3 linked regions of the Oryctolagus cuniculus genome follow. The protein of the gene in region 3 purifies or fractionates together with the protein of the main gene of each other region. This does not show direct contact. Links are inferred from orthologs where the notes say so. Each region holds a gene or a part of one and is shown on either strand. Other genes may lie near its edges.

Region 1 (4,193 bases), on a different chromosome or scaffold from region 3:
CATTCTGTAGGATAGAACCGATATTGGCCGCTATGCTTCTCCAGTCAGCCTGAAGGTCACGTAGCTAGGATAGCTTTCCAGGTGTCCTAAAGGGCATGGACCACACCCGGGAGCTGTTTACCTGATTGGCAATTGCAGGGCCCTTTCACAGGGGTGGTGTGTGTGTGTGCTCGTGTGCATGCATGTGTGCGTGTAAAAATGCCTGGGGCTCCTGCCACCTGCCAGCAGTCCGATTGTAGGGTCCTTCCTGGGAGGCGTGGTGTACCATGCCTGCTCATGATCCTGCATGGGCAGGGCAGGCAGACCTCCCGCCAGGTATGGTATCACCCACATCCATCCTAGAAATGTAAGCTCCACAAAGAAAGGGGCTGGGTCTGTCATGTTCACCAACGAAGCCCCATTTTTTGAGATGACGTCGGTACACAGTTATGTGTTGACAAAATGTTGAACGAACGAATGCATAAAGGAGTTTACAATAGAGTTTTCTTCTGTGGGTGAAACAGCATTTTCCTGATCTAATTATTTTTGGGGGTAAATTCTGATATATTGCACCAGCCTCATTTTGTGTTTTTTTTTTTTTTTCCTCCTAAGATAGACCCAGTTTCCAAAATAAAATCCTATTGTCCCTTTAAGAGCCAAAGAAAATACTTCTATACTTTACGTGCTGAGTGGCTACTGCAGTCCACCACTGAAGGGCTTTCTAAAGCACCTGTTTGACCTTCAGAGCACAGGGCTTACATCCCAGGGTTAGCAGTAGCAGGCTGCGCTTTTTGGGCTCCTAAGAACCCAGAACTTCCTGAGCCTAATTCCATCCGGCCTGGACTGGCTGATTGTTGGGGGAGAAAAGGTTTCTCGAGAGAAGTGTGGGCGACAGCTTAGGAGGACCTTGAAATTCTGCTTTGGTCTGTATGCTGCTGCTTGGTGCACTCTGGCTCGGCGCCTGTGGGTCACAATCTCTCACAGACGCTAGATACATGAAACTGGGGGATGTCCAGTCCCCAGAACCACAGTCAGGGGAGGGCTCTTGAATCCTCTGACACCTTTTCCCAGTATCTGGGCTACAGGTGAGGCGCTGTCGCCATCTTGATAGAAATGCTAGGCAAGCCGCACTGGCGTCGCTCGGTAACCACGGAGACGCCCACGCCCCCTCCCGCTTCGCATCCGTAAGGACTGTAAACTACCTTTCCCATCAGCCGATTTGCTGTACTTGACGGCGAGTTGTCTAGATCTGCCTCGTCTGCAATCGCGACCCGGCCGCAGTGAACGGCGGGAGTTGCGGTTCACGGCATGGCCTCACTTTTTGCTGCGGGAAGCTCCGGGACTACAAATCCCGTGAGCCAGCGGTCTTACGCATGCGTGCGGAACAGCTGGTCCTCCTCGGCCCCCCTTCTCGTGCCTGAAAGGTAAGAGAGGGCGGGGGGAAGGAAGAGGAGGCGGGATCCGGGAGCTGCGTTGGCTGCGGCCTGGCACCAAAGGGGCGGCCCCCGAGGAGAGCAGACCGGGTGGCCCCGGCGACTATGGACCCGGCCGAGGCGGTGCTGCAGGAGAAAGCGCTGAAGTTTATGGTAAGGAGACCGTGCAGGCCGAGGAACCATGGAGGCGGGGGCGTTGGCGGCGTCGCTGAGCTCCGGCCTGGGCCGCCCGCCCACTGCGGGAGGGGGTTGGCGAGACCCTGGGCCGAGGCCAGCGGCGGGGGCGGCTTAGAGGGACTGGAGCGGAGCTCGGGGGAGGAGGCTGGGGGGTGCGGAGGGGATCCAGAGGTGGGGGGCAGCAGCTCCGCCATCTTGTGGATGAGGAGCCAAGTGACAGCGGGAGCTTAATCGAGGAGGGGTCTCCTGGCGGCGCGCGGGGCCCGGGAGGGAAAGGGGCGTGGGGACAGTTACCGAAGAGCTGAGCAAGCCGGGTGGAGAGACGCCGTGAGGCCGTTGGTAGGGCCTTCCCAGTGTCGGGGTTACGGGTAAGGCCCCGGAGAGGAGGTGCATCCCCGAGTTGGGAAGGGGAGCACGGGACTGTAGGAGCACAGACGTTGGGGGTAGGGTGGGAGCGAGCAGGGCCGATGCGGCTGGGCTGAGGGCTTGCAGATGGGTGAGGGGCTTGTAGTTTTGTAGAAAGAGGGGGAAGATAGCCTTTGCCTTGAGGGTGAATCCCCTCTTAGCCAAACTACTGTTGACAAACTCTGGAAGAGGAGATAAGGACAAGGAATAGGAACCCGTGGTGACAGTCCGTGGGCGAGGAGGGGGTTGTTGACTGTGAAACAGTTGTCAGGAAAAGGGATCTATACCTGGTTTGTAAGGAGAGGTTAAGTACTTGTGTATGAGGTGATGAAAAGCAAGAGGCAGATTGCCAGAGAGACATGGGGACAAGGGGTTGGGGCAAAATTAATGTCTAATAGAGTGAAACAGAACTTGAAGCTTCAAGTGGGAGGCAGTGAAGTGTGGGATCCACGGGCTGTATCATGGGCTGGGAAAGGCAAGCCGTGGAAATTATGGTTGTAGAGACCCATGACAAGTGATGAGGTCGGTGGAGAAATTCAAGAGAGGAAAAGGGAAGGCGAGGGATGTAGCTAATGAGATAAATTGGGATTGGTGGGGGGCGCCCCTCAGTTTTAAGTTTGTTGAGCATAGCAGGGGCATGTGGTTGGATTGTGGGTGTGTAAACTCCTTAGAGCCTTTTTACTTTGTATCCCACTTCTCTATCAGCATGCTTATGTTGGGCAAACTTGTATAATCTGAGATTTGATGCTTTTAATCTGATGCTTCTTGTGTATCCTAGGTGCAAAACAAGACTTTGTGGCTTTTACTTAACAGGTGGCTTTAGGGACATTGATATTATTTGCAGTCAAGTCTTGCTTTTCAGACCTAATTGTGATCTGCCACTCCAAATCTTATTCCTTTGTTAAAAAGTTATTTTGTATCTTTGCCTAAAATACCATAGCAGATTAAATACTAACCTAATTGAATTTAGGCTTAAATTTCTCCATTTATAAGAATATTTTTCAGAAAATTATATTTATAATTTTCTGTTAGTACTTTCAAAAACATCTAATTAAAGTTCAGGTGTATCATGAACAGAATTCCATTGAACCAGAAGGTTCTTGAATTTATGCCCAATGTTAAAATTCTAAAATATGAAGAAGAGACCTTGCTTTTTCTTTTCTTTTGGAAGTGAAAGTTACTTTATCTCTACAGCCAGATCCTAGATTCACGTCAGAAAAGTGGCAACTTCTTATTTTTGCTTGCCTAGTTAGAAGGAGGGTTGACTCTTAATCCTAATCCTGACGAAATCCTGAGTTGTGTCAGATTTATGGAATAATGTGATTTACAGATCATAAAGAGACATTATGAGATCATCTTTTTTTAACTCCTCCTTAAACCTCAGCATGGGAACATTCTCAAGTGCTTGATCTTTGCTTCGTATCAGTGAGTTATGTCTCTGTGATGGCTTCCTGATTGAGTTAAAGCCAGGCCATGTAGTGGTTTGCCACTTTTGGGACGCCATGCATTATTAAATGTTAAGTCAGTTTCCATAGGGAGAAGTCAAATTTTTCTTTAATTTTAGTTAGTTTCATTTTTGACTACCTATCATTATGGCTGCTGTTTGAGAAATGGCCAGTTGGAAGAGAGTCACCAAGAGTGATGACACCTTAAGAAGAAGAGCAGAGAATGGAGAGTTAGAGGTTTGGAATTCTCTTCCAGCTCTGTAACAGCCTTATTATGAATCTGAGTAAGTCACAACTTCCCTTTGGTCCCATTTACCTTTCTGTAGTATTCCTAGTTTATTTAGAGTCAATTTGTGATAGAAAGATTAAAAAAAATTATTTGAGAAGCAGAGGTGAGAGGGGGAGGGGGCAGAGCAAGGGAGAAAGCCTGAGACCACCCATCTTGTAATTCATGCACTGAATGCTGGGAACTCAGTCCAGCTCTTCCACGTGGGTGGCAGCAACCCAGTTGTTTGGGCCATCACCACTGCCGCCGGGGTCTGCATTAATAGGAAGCTGGAATCCAGGTACTGAACCCAGATACTCTGCCATGGATGGCTAAACCACGAGGCTAAATGCCCAGCTCCTAGGAAGATGTTGTGTTTAAATTTGCTTCAAGTAAATAGTGTATAGCACACATGGAGGAGCTGTCCTTTATTACATCACATTGAAATGTTTGTCTTTGTATGCAGCTTTATTCTGGCCTTTTATTTTT
Region 2 (4,239 bases), about 140 Mb from region 3:
GGCAGCCAGGCCTGGACCACAGCCCCCATCGCTGGCCTTCTCTAAGCCAGCTGGGCCCTCAACCATGTGCCTTCCACATTGCCGCACCTCCACCTGCTGCTGGAGCTCAGTACCTCCATCCAGGGGTAACTTCAGACCGACAGGAGCAGATTAGGGGTCAGTGTGGGGAACAAATTCTTAGGGGAAATCGTCTCCAATCCCACTTAGGACCAGGAGCCCCTTTCACACAGTGCGGGAAAAGCAGAGCTGGGGCAGGCAGCAGAGGTCGCCTAGGCACGGCTCTGAAGCTTGGCTGCACAGCAGTGGTGGGTCCTGGGCCCCAGCCACCCATCAATCGGAGGTGGGTGGAGACATCCACAGAGTCAAGGCTTTCTTTGAGGGCCCACAGGAGTTGCTAATTAGGTTCTGCACTTGGCCCGCTCCCGCCCAGTAAGGGAGCCAGTTCCCCCAAGAAGACGCCACAGCAGAAAGCCACTTGTCAGATGATCCTTTATTCCAAGATTCCTCTGTGCTTCTTAGCTCTGTGAGGAAGAAAGCGGGTCTGAGACCACCAGCCACTCCAGCCTGGCAATACATCAGCTGTACCCCACCCCACTTTTACACGGAGTACCACTGGCCATCCCCCCACCCCGTGTCACCCGCAGGCACTTACAGCCGGGCACTCCACGGCACCACTGTTGATGTCGTCGATGATGTCGTGAGGGTGGCGGCCGTCCACGTTGCAGCCCACAGACTGGGCGGTCCCCAGGATCTCCTTAATGGTCCCTGAGAGAGCAGTGGCTTCAGGGAAGGCTTGGTCCTCTCTCGGGACTCCCCACTCCCCTTGGAGTCTGGAATCCCACCTGGTTACAAAGCCCTTACACAAGGTCTCCACACTCCCCCTGCGCCCAGGTTAAATACCCCACTCAGCACCACGCATTTCTGCAGAACACGCCCCAAGTCCTGGATCACCCCGGGGCGGACCCGGGAGCCGGCTCCACGCCCTGCGCTTACCGGAGAGTTCTCTGGCGAGGGACCGGTGGCGCATCTGCCGGGCAATGTTGACGATCTCATCGAAGGTGATGTTGCCGCTGTGTTTGACTGCAGGAAGGACCAGGGGAAGCTCGGTCAGAGGCGGCCGCCTGTGAAACCTCACAAGGCCCCGCCAGCCGTGGCAGGCTGTTCCCGTGCTTTCGGCACAGAGTCATCCACGTGGAGGACAACCCTGTTTCCTAAGCCGGGGCTTCCTCTCAGCTCACCACTGGATTGCGCCAGCCAGCAGCATGGGCAGGCGCAGTGGCGGGTGGCTGGGACACAACCGAGCCTCCGCCGGAAGCCGGGCTGGGGCCAGTTAGGCGTCCAGAGGACTCACCCTCCACCCCCCGCACGCACGGGAAGCAGGACCTGCCCCACACTAGCTAACCCGTCACCTCCCACACTGTCACACAGGGGACACCCAGAGCCGCCGCTGGTCACAGACCCCTACACAAGGCACTCACTGTTCTTCTGCTTCTTCCGGTCCCGGGGCGGTTCCTTGAGGGCTTTGATGATGAGGGCCGAGGCCGAAGGCACCACCTCGATCTGCAGGACAGAGTCTTGTGTGAAAGAGCCCGACCCCACTGGACCCCACGCCGGTGAGCGTGGCGACGCGGCCACCCACGTGGGCTCCCAGAGCATGCCCAGCCCAGCCCAGCCTGGGGGCCGACAACACAGGCGGAAATACCTGGGCCTGCCGGTTCTGGATGGTCAGTTTCACTGTGATCCGCAGCCCCTTCCAGTCGCCGGTGGCCTTGGCAATGTCATCGCCAACCTTTTTGGGAGACTGTAGAGATATGGGCGGGTAATCAGCCTGTGCCCGAGCTGGGCCGCAGCCCCCAAACCTGCGCAGTACCGCCACCTCCCTCCGCCAGCGCCAGGGCAGCTGCACCTGCGCCCCATACCCCAGGTAGCACCAGGCTCCGGTGCGGCCACGCCTCGAAGGGCCCCTGCACCGAGGCGGCACGCGCGCAGCCCGAACCCGTTTGCGGAGGCTGGGCCCCAGCTGGCCACGGCAAGATGGCCCCTAGTGGCAGGAGCGACGCTCGGGTGCCCCACGGCATGAACGCGGTACAGAGTGGAGCCGGCCACGGCCCCCGCGAGCCCGCCACGCGCTGCCCACTGCGGGTCCGCCGCTCGGCTCCGGCCGCGCACCAAGTACTCACCAGGCCCAGGGGGCCGATCTTGGGGGCCAGGGCAGACGTGGCGCCGACCTCGCCGCCGGTGCACCGCAGGTATACTGGGGGGAGGGGGAGGAAAGCCGGGGCCTCAGTGGAGGGGCCGCGCCTCTCCGGGCTGCCCACCCGGCCGTCGCCTCTCCCCGACACAGCACCAGGAGCTCCCGGGGATCAAGGCCGGACACACGCTCCTCGCTCGGGCGCCGCAGCGGAGGCCGCCCGGAACCCACACGAGGGGCGCAGAGACCCCCGAAGACAAGCCTTACCCTAAGGCGTGCGGGCTGCAAAGCCGCCAGGGTCGTCCGCTCCTCCCTCCCCATCTACACGTGGGAAAGCCGAGGCCCGGGACGCGCAGCTTCGCGCACGGGAAAGGAGCGCGGCGGGGCGCGGGCAGCCTGCACCCCGCAGCCCCGCTCGCAGCGAGAGCACGCACCGACTTTGATCTCGTTGGGATCGAACTTGGGTGGCATGGTGGAGGCGCCTGGTGTCGGATGAACCCGGATTCGGGACGACCGAAGAGAGTTGCACCTTGGCCTCCTCCGAGCCGAATACCGAAAGGCCGGAAGTCCCGCCGACCGCACCGGATATAAGCAGGAAAATGCGGCTCTCGCGAGAGCTCCTGGCTCCGCCTAAAAAATCCTGGCTCCGCCTGGCGACGCCCTTGCCGCCATGTTTCTTGTGGGCAGGCTCCTGCGGCTGACTGCTGGAGAGCCGGGGGCATCGCGGTGAGCCGGGGTAAAGGATTCGGAAGCGGGGTTCGGGGCAGTTCGCCAACGGGGAGGCAGAGACGACAGGCTGCTCCCGAGATCCCGGGCCTCGCTGTTTGCTGTGCTCTCGTATCGTGAGGGTCACCCCGGGGTCCCTGTCACCGAAATCCAGAGACCTGCCCCTCCCCTGGGCGGTCCGCGCCCCCGTCCCGGGACCCGGGACTCCTCCTAACCCCTTCGTGGTGTGTGGGTCCGCTCAGCAGACCTAAGCCAGGTGCAACTCTTGCTCGTGCGAGCCCGGCGTCCCGGACTTGTCACTCCTGCTCTGCAGGACTTTTGGAGCTTTTGGGTTTCGGTCCCAGCTCCTGCCCCGGAGGAGCCGCAGCCACTGCTAAGCCCGGGGGTGACCCGCCTGTCCACCCACCCGGCCCGGTGACCGCAGCCGAGGGGAGGATGGGTGTGGCCCTCGCCCCCGGGCTGGACGCCAGCAGATGAGGGAGCGGCGTCGGGGCTGAGCTGGGAGGAGATGGGGAGCGGGGCGGGCAGGCTGCGGCAGACCCTGCCCGGTGCCGGCAGACTGGTGGGTTTGACCGGAGGGCCTGGGCGGGCCACCCCTGCGGCTGGCAGCCCGCACCCCTGTGGGCGGAGACCTCTGGCCTCCGCCGCTTCCCCAGCCGCGTCTGCTCCCCTAGCCCTCGGCCCTGGCTCCGTGTGTGCGGGACGGGCGGCGCTTTGTGGCCGTGGAGCGTTCGCTGTGTGCAGGTAGCGGCCGTGTGGGGGCCTCAGGTGTGTGAACTCACTGGGAAGCCGGTGTCGGTGACATTATCGCTCAGGCTCCGCAGGTGAGGAAGCCGTGAGCCACGGTGACACAGCAGGTGGCTGGCCGAGCCTGGATCCCTACCAGCCTGGTGCTTGCTTCCTGGCGGGTGGCTGCCCCCGGCACGGATATTTGCAGGTACTGGGCAGGGCCCCTGCGGGCAGTGGGCACCAACTCCTGGTCCAGGACCCCAGCGCCAAGCAGGTGGCAAACCCCTGAGCATCAGGTCGTGGAAGCCCAGGGTTCCAGGCTGCAGACCCACATCCCAGAACCTGCTGAGCGTGTTTCTCCACCATCAGCAGGGCCCTGGTGAGGGTCCCATGGAGTGATGACTGTGAGGGCGGCCAGGCGCCTAAGGGTCGCCCCTGAATGTTGATTCAACTCCGAGATCCCTCTGGCTGTGACGTAGTTGAGCCCCCCAGAGTCATGGCTGGCTCCAGTCTGGTTCTGCCGTTCTAGCTTGGAGGAGCCGGAAGTGACCCCAGTCTGTTAGGGTCCTCCGGGAGAATCCTGAGGAAGTGTG
Region 3 (3,510 bases):
TTCCTGGCTTTGGGTTTGATCTGGCCGAACCTTGTCTGTTGTGGCCATTTGGGAAGCAAGCCAGTAGATGGAAGATCTTTCTTTCTCTCCACCTCTCTTTCCCTCCCTTTCAAGTAAATAAATAAATCTTTTAAAATATTAATAAAATTAAGATGAAACTAAAATTCCTATCTATAGAATTTCAGTTTTTTAAATATGAAGATATATGTATTTCCCTTTGTAAACTGATTTTAGGCAACACACACTTTAGAAATACTTTAGCATATTTTGATTTAGGGAAGTGATTATGCTACCTCTTTAATTATCATCACTTGAATTGAAAACAATGATTCTAAGAAAAATTATCACAACTGCTAAAATATTTAGTGTAATAGAATTTCCCATCATTTGGTCAGTGTTTAGATTAATGTTGGTATCCTAATTGATTTTTAAAACACCTAAAATTATATTTTAAAATTTGTATTTACTCTTCTGACACACCCAGTATTTTGGATCTGAAGTTAAAACTGAAACTGTAGGAAACGTCATAGCCACTGAGTTTGTTTTTATATATATACCACAAGGAAACCTTCAGATCACTATAATTCTAGTACCTATATTATTGAAGGCCTATATTATTCAGAGATGGAATTAAACTGTTTTTAAATGAATAGGGTGTATATCCTTCTGCCATTTGTAGAGATTTTTTTCTTAAAACTTTTTTCTCGATTTTTATTTATTTTATTTTATTTAAAAGGCAGAGGGACACATTTGAGAGACATCTTCCCTCTGCGCATTCACTCTCCAGATTTGTCTGCAATAGCCAAGACTGGGCCAGGCAGAAGCCAGCAGCCAGAACTCCTCCCAGGGTGCATGTTGATAAGGAAGGTAGAATAGCCAGCGCTCAAACCAGGCACTCTGATATGGAATGTGGCCTTCCCAAGTCGTGCCTTAACTGCCACACCAAATGCCCACTTCTTTCTGAAACGTTTTAGTGAGAACTGGGCTACTGGCTGGGCTTGAGATTCTGTTTTCTGTTAAGATCATAGAATGACAGTTAATAATCCATGTTACTAGTGTAAGGGAAGAATCATACATCCATTCTCTGTAGTTCCCTGTTTCTAAAGCACACATCTGACTGTGACCTTTTTTTTTTTTTTTTTGAATCCTTGGGGTGAGTATTTGGCTTACCAGCTTAGAGGCAGGTTACGATGACCACATCTTCCCTGCTCAGCTTCAACTCCTCACCCCAACTTCCTGCTAATGCAGACCTTGGGAGGCAGCTGGTGATGGCTATTCATGTGGGAGACCTGAATTAAGTTCCCAGCTCCTGGCTTTGGCCCAGCCCAGGCCTAGTGTGGCAGGCATTTGGGAGTTAACCAGCAGATGGGAGTGTGCATGCTCTTGCTTTCCCTCTGCTTCCCAAATAAAGAGTACATATATAAATAAAGTAATCCTTGATGGTTACTCTGTTGCCGACTAGTTGATTTTTATGCATTCCTTAAACTGTAAACACTGTTCTAACTTGCCTTGGAGTTGACTCTTGCTAGTGATGTCTTATCCCCCCTCTCTCTTTTATTCTGAGGTCCTCAAGATCAGCTTAGACATTCCCTTTTATGAAACCTTTACCTTTTCCTTGTTAATCTCCTTTTTTTTTATTCTGAAAGTACTTTGGGCACATAGTTCACATAGCTTCTGTATATAATTCATTAGTATATTTTTTTCTTCTCTCTCCTGAAGTTGTTAGTCTCTCAGCACCATTTGCAGTTTTTTGTGGTTGTTGCTGTTGTCCTCAGAGCCTGGTCAAATGTCTGTAATGTAGTGACAGCTGTTCAGCGAACGTTTATTCAGTGAGTAGGGCTTCAGGGGGTGGAATTCTGCAGGGAGTAGTTCCTATTCAAGAAATGTAAGCTTTCTTCTGGACTACCTGTATGCTTCCCCTGTGGGTTGGAGTAAATTATTTACAAATCTGTACATTCAGATATTCTGTAATAGACTGGGTGTCTGATGTGGTCTCCATACTCGGCAGTGGAAATAGACTGATGACTAGCACCAGGCCACTGTCTCAGATTAGGGCAGGCAAAAATAAAAACAAACCACATCCAAGACCTTTTGGTACATGGCCTCGTTGTGTGCAAATGGTCTCGGGGCAAATGTGTGTTTTCTTGAATCTGTTTGAGGCTTTTGAAGCTCTCCAAAATGTGGCAGAAGCATTAGAGTAAACCAGTGGTTACAGTATACAAAATGAGGTTGGCAGTGGGGCAAGGCCAGTGCATTGAGCGATTTAGGGAAGAAATATGGAGTCGTGAGCTTCTAACTTTGACCAATAGTAAAAGCTTGTTTAAAAGCTTAGTTTTTGTTTTGTAACTTTTATTAAGTTAAATAGCCACTTAAGTGTCCAAGCTGTGTGGAAAGTTTAAAATTCCCATTCATGTTCAAAGACCATTAAGAAGAATAACAATTGCCTTGCTTTTATACTTCCCCATAAGATTTTCTGCAACTAGTAGAACTCATAATTTTAGTCAACCCAAGTGATATCTTTGTGCTACTAGCTTAGGAAAGTGTTCTGATTGTGAAAGTAATGTTTCAGGATATTTACCGTACTGGTATATAAATCTGGGAAGCTTCATTGAGCTTAAAGGAAAAGTATCTGTCTTGGCTCATGTTTTTCTCTAGAGATTTTCCTTGTCTTGTGTTTTGTTTCTTCTTGCTCTTATGCTGTGGTGTTTTGGTGTTCCCCTCCCCCTCCAAACAGAAGCAGGGAGATCAAGCTACAGGCATTCTTATCTAATCGGCAGTTATTTACCTATTTTTGGGCCAGTCCAGAAAGGAATTCTAGTTCTTTATTTTGGGTTAATTTCTCCTTGGCTTAAGTTCACTACATGAGAGCTAGGAATTTAACGTGAGACTAGTACAGGCCTGTCTCACCACCCACCTGGAGTTTGTATTTTGACCTCTCTGCCTGTGCACACACCTGCGGAATTGAAACCTTGAAACGAGTTAAGTGGACCCCCGCCCACCCAATGCAAATGGTATTAGAGAAATAAAAACTCTACAGAGAATTTTATGTCAGCTAGGAAGACTAAATGGATGTAACTTTTTTCAGTTGTTGCCATCAATCAATTGCACAACCTTAAGAGAGCTCTTGGTCCTCTAGAGCTACCAGCTTTAATTAGTACTGTATATTTCACTTCATAGTATAGGGTCTGTGACCATGAAGGAAGATACTTGTTTCAGCTGTTACAGGGCAAGATTGTCACTAATCCCCTGAGAATCCTGTTGGTACTCAGCAAGTGTTTATTTTTATCTTAGATTTCTTAAATGTTACTATCAGTCTTTAACTATTTATTTATTTATTTATTTATTTTGGTAGCGGTACCTATCACTCTCGAGATGAGAGTACAGACAGTGGACTGAGCATGAGCAGCTACAGTGTCCCTCGAACCCCGGATGACTTCTTGAACAGTGTTGATGAAATGGATACAGGTTGGTATTCCTTATTTTAGTTACCTGACCTCTACTCAGAGATAA

The links. Proteins that work in one complex are often made in the same cells at the same time.
Region 1: the proteins of YAP1 (region 3) and BTRC purify together in Homo sapiens (affinity purification with western blotting; 16 studies listed by BioGRID and IntAct, counting the BioPlex papers as one, with this or other methods). This does not show direct contact. The link is inferred for Oryctolagus cuniculus from reciprocal best matches to the Homo sapiens genes YAP1 and BTRC.
Region 2: the proteins of YAP1 (region 3) and RPL12 purify together in Homo sapiens (affinity purification with mass spectrometry, with the first as the bait; 3 studies listed by BioGRID). This does not show direct contact. The link is inferred for Oryctolagus cuniculus from reciprocal best matches to the Homo sapiens genes YAP1 and RPL12.

What each region holds. Positions count from the first base shown.
Region 1 is NC_091446.1:28,581,393-28,585,585, reverse strand, and holds the start of BTRC (F-box/WD repeat-containing protein 1A), read left to right. Parts: upstream 1-1,387; 5' UTR 1,388-1,517; coding exon 1,518-1,565; intron 1,566-1,833; exon of another isoform or gene 1,834-1,957; intron 1,958-3,583; exon of another isoform or gene 3,584-3,723; intron 3,724-4,193. UniProt on the Homo sapiens protein: Substrate recognition component of a SCF (SKP1-CUL1-F-box protein) E3 ubiquitin-protein ligase complex which mediates the ubiquitination and subsequent proteasomal degradation of target proteins. Recognizes and binds to phosphorylated target proteins.
Region 2 is NC_091432.1:230,974,587-230,978,825, forward strand, and holds RPL12 (large ribosomal subunit protein uL11), read right to left. Parts: upstream 2,807-4,239; 5' UTR 2,663-2,806; coding exon 2,626-2,662; intron 2,255-2,625; coding exon 2,181-2,254; intron 1,802-2,180; coding exon 1,703-1,801; intron 1,561-1,702; coding exon 1,479-1,560; intron 1,284-1,478; exon of another isoform or gene 1,157-1,283; intron 1,081-1,156; coding exon 994-1,080; intron 766-993; coding exon 653-765; intron 522-652; coding exon 516-521; 3' UTR 471-515; downstream 1-470.
Region 3 is NC_091432.1:93,682,738-93,686,247, forward strand, and holds part of YAP1 (transcriptional coactivator YAP1), read left to right. Parts: intron 1-3,352; coding exon 3,353-3,465; intron 3,466-3,510. UniProt on the Homo sapiens protein: Transcriptional regulator with dual roles as a coactivator and corepressor. Critical downstream regulatory target in the Hippo signaling pathway, crucial for organ size control and tumor suppression by restricting proliferation and promoting apoptosis.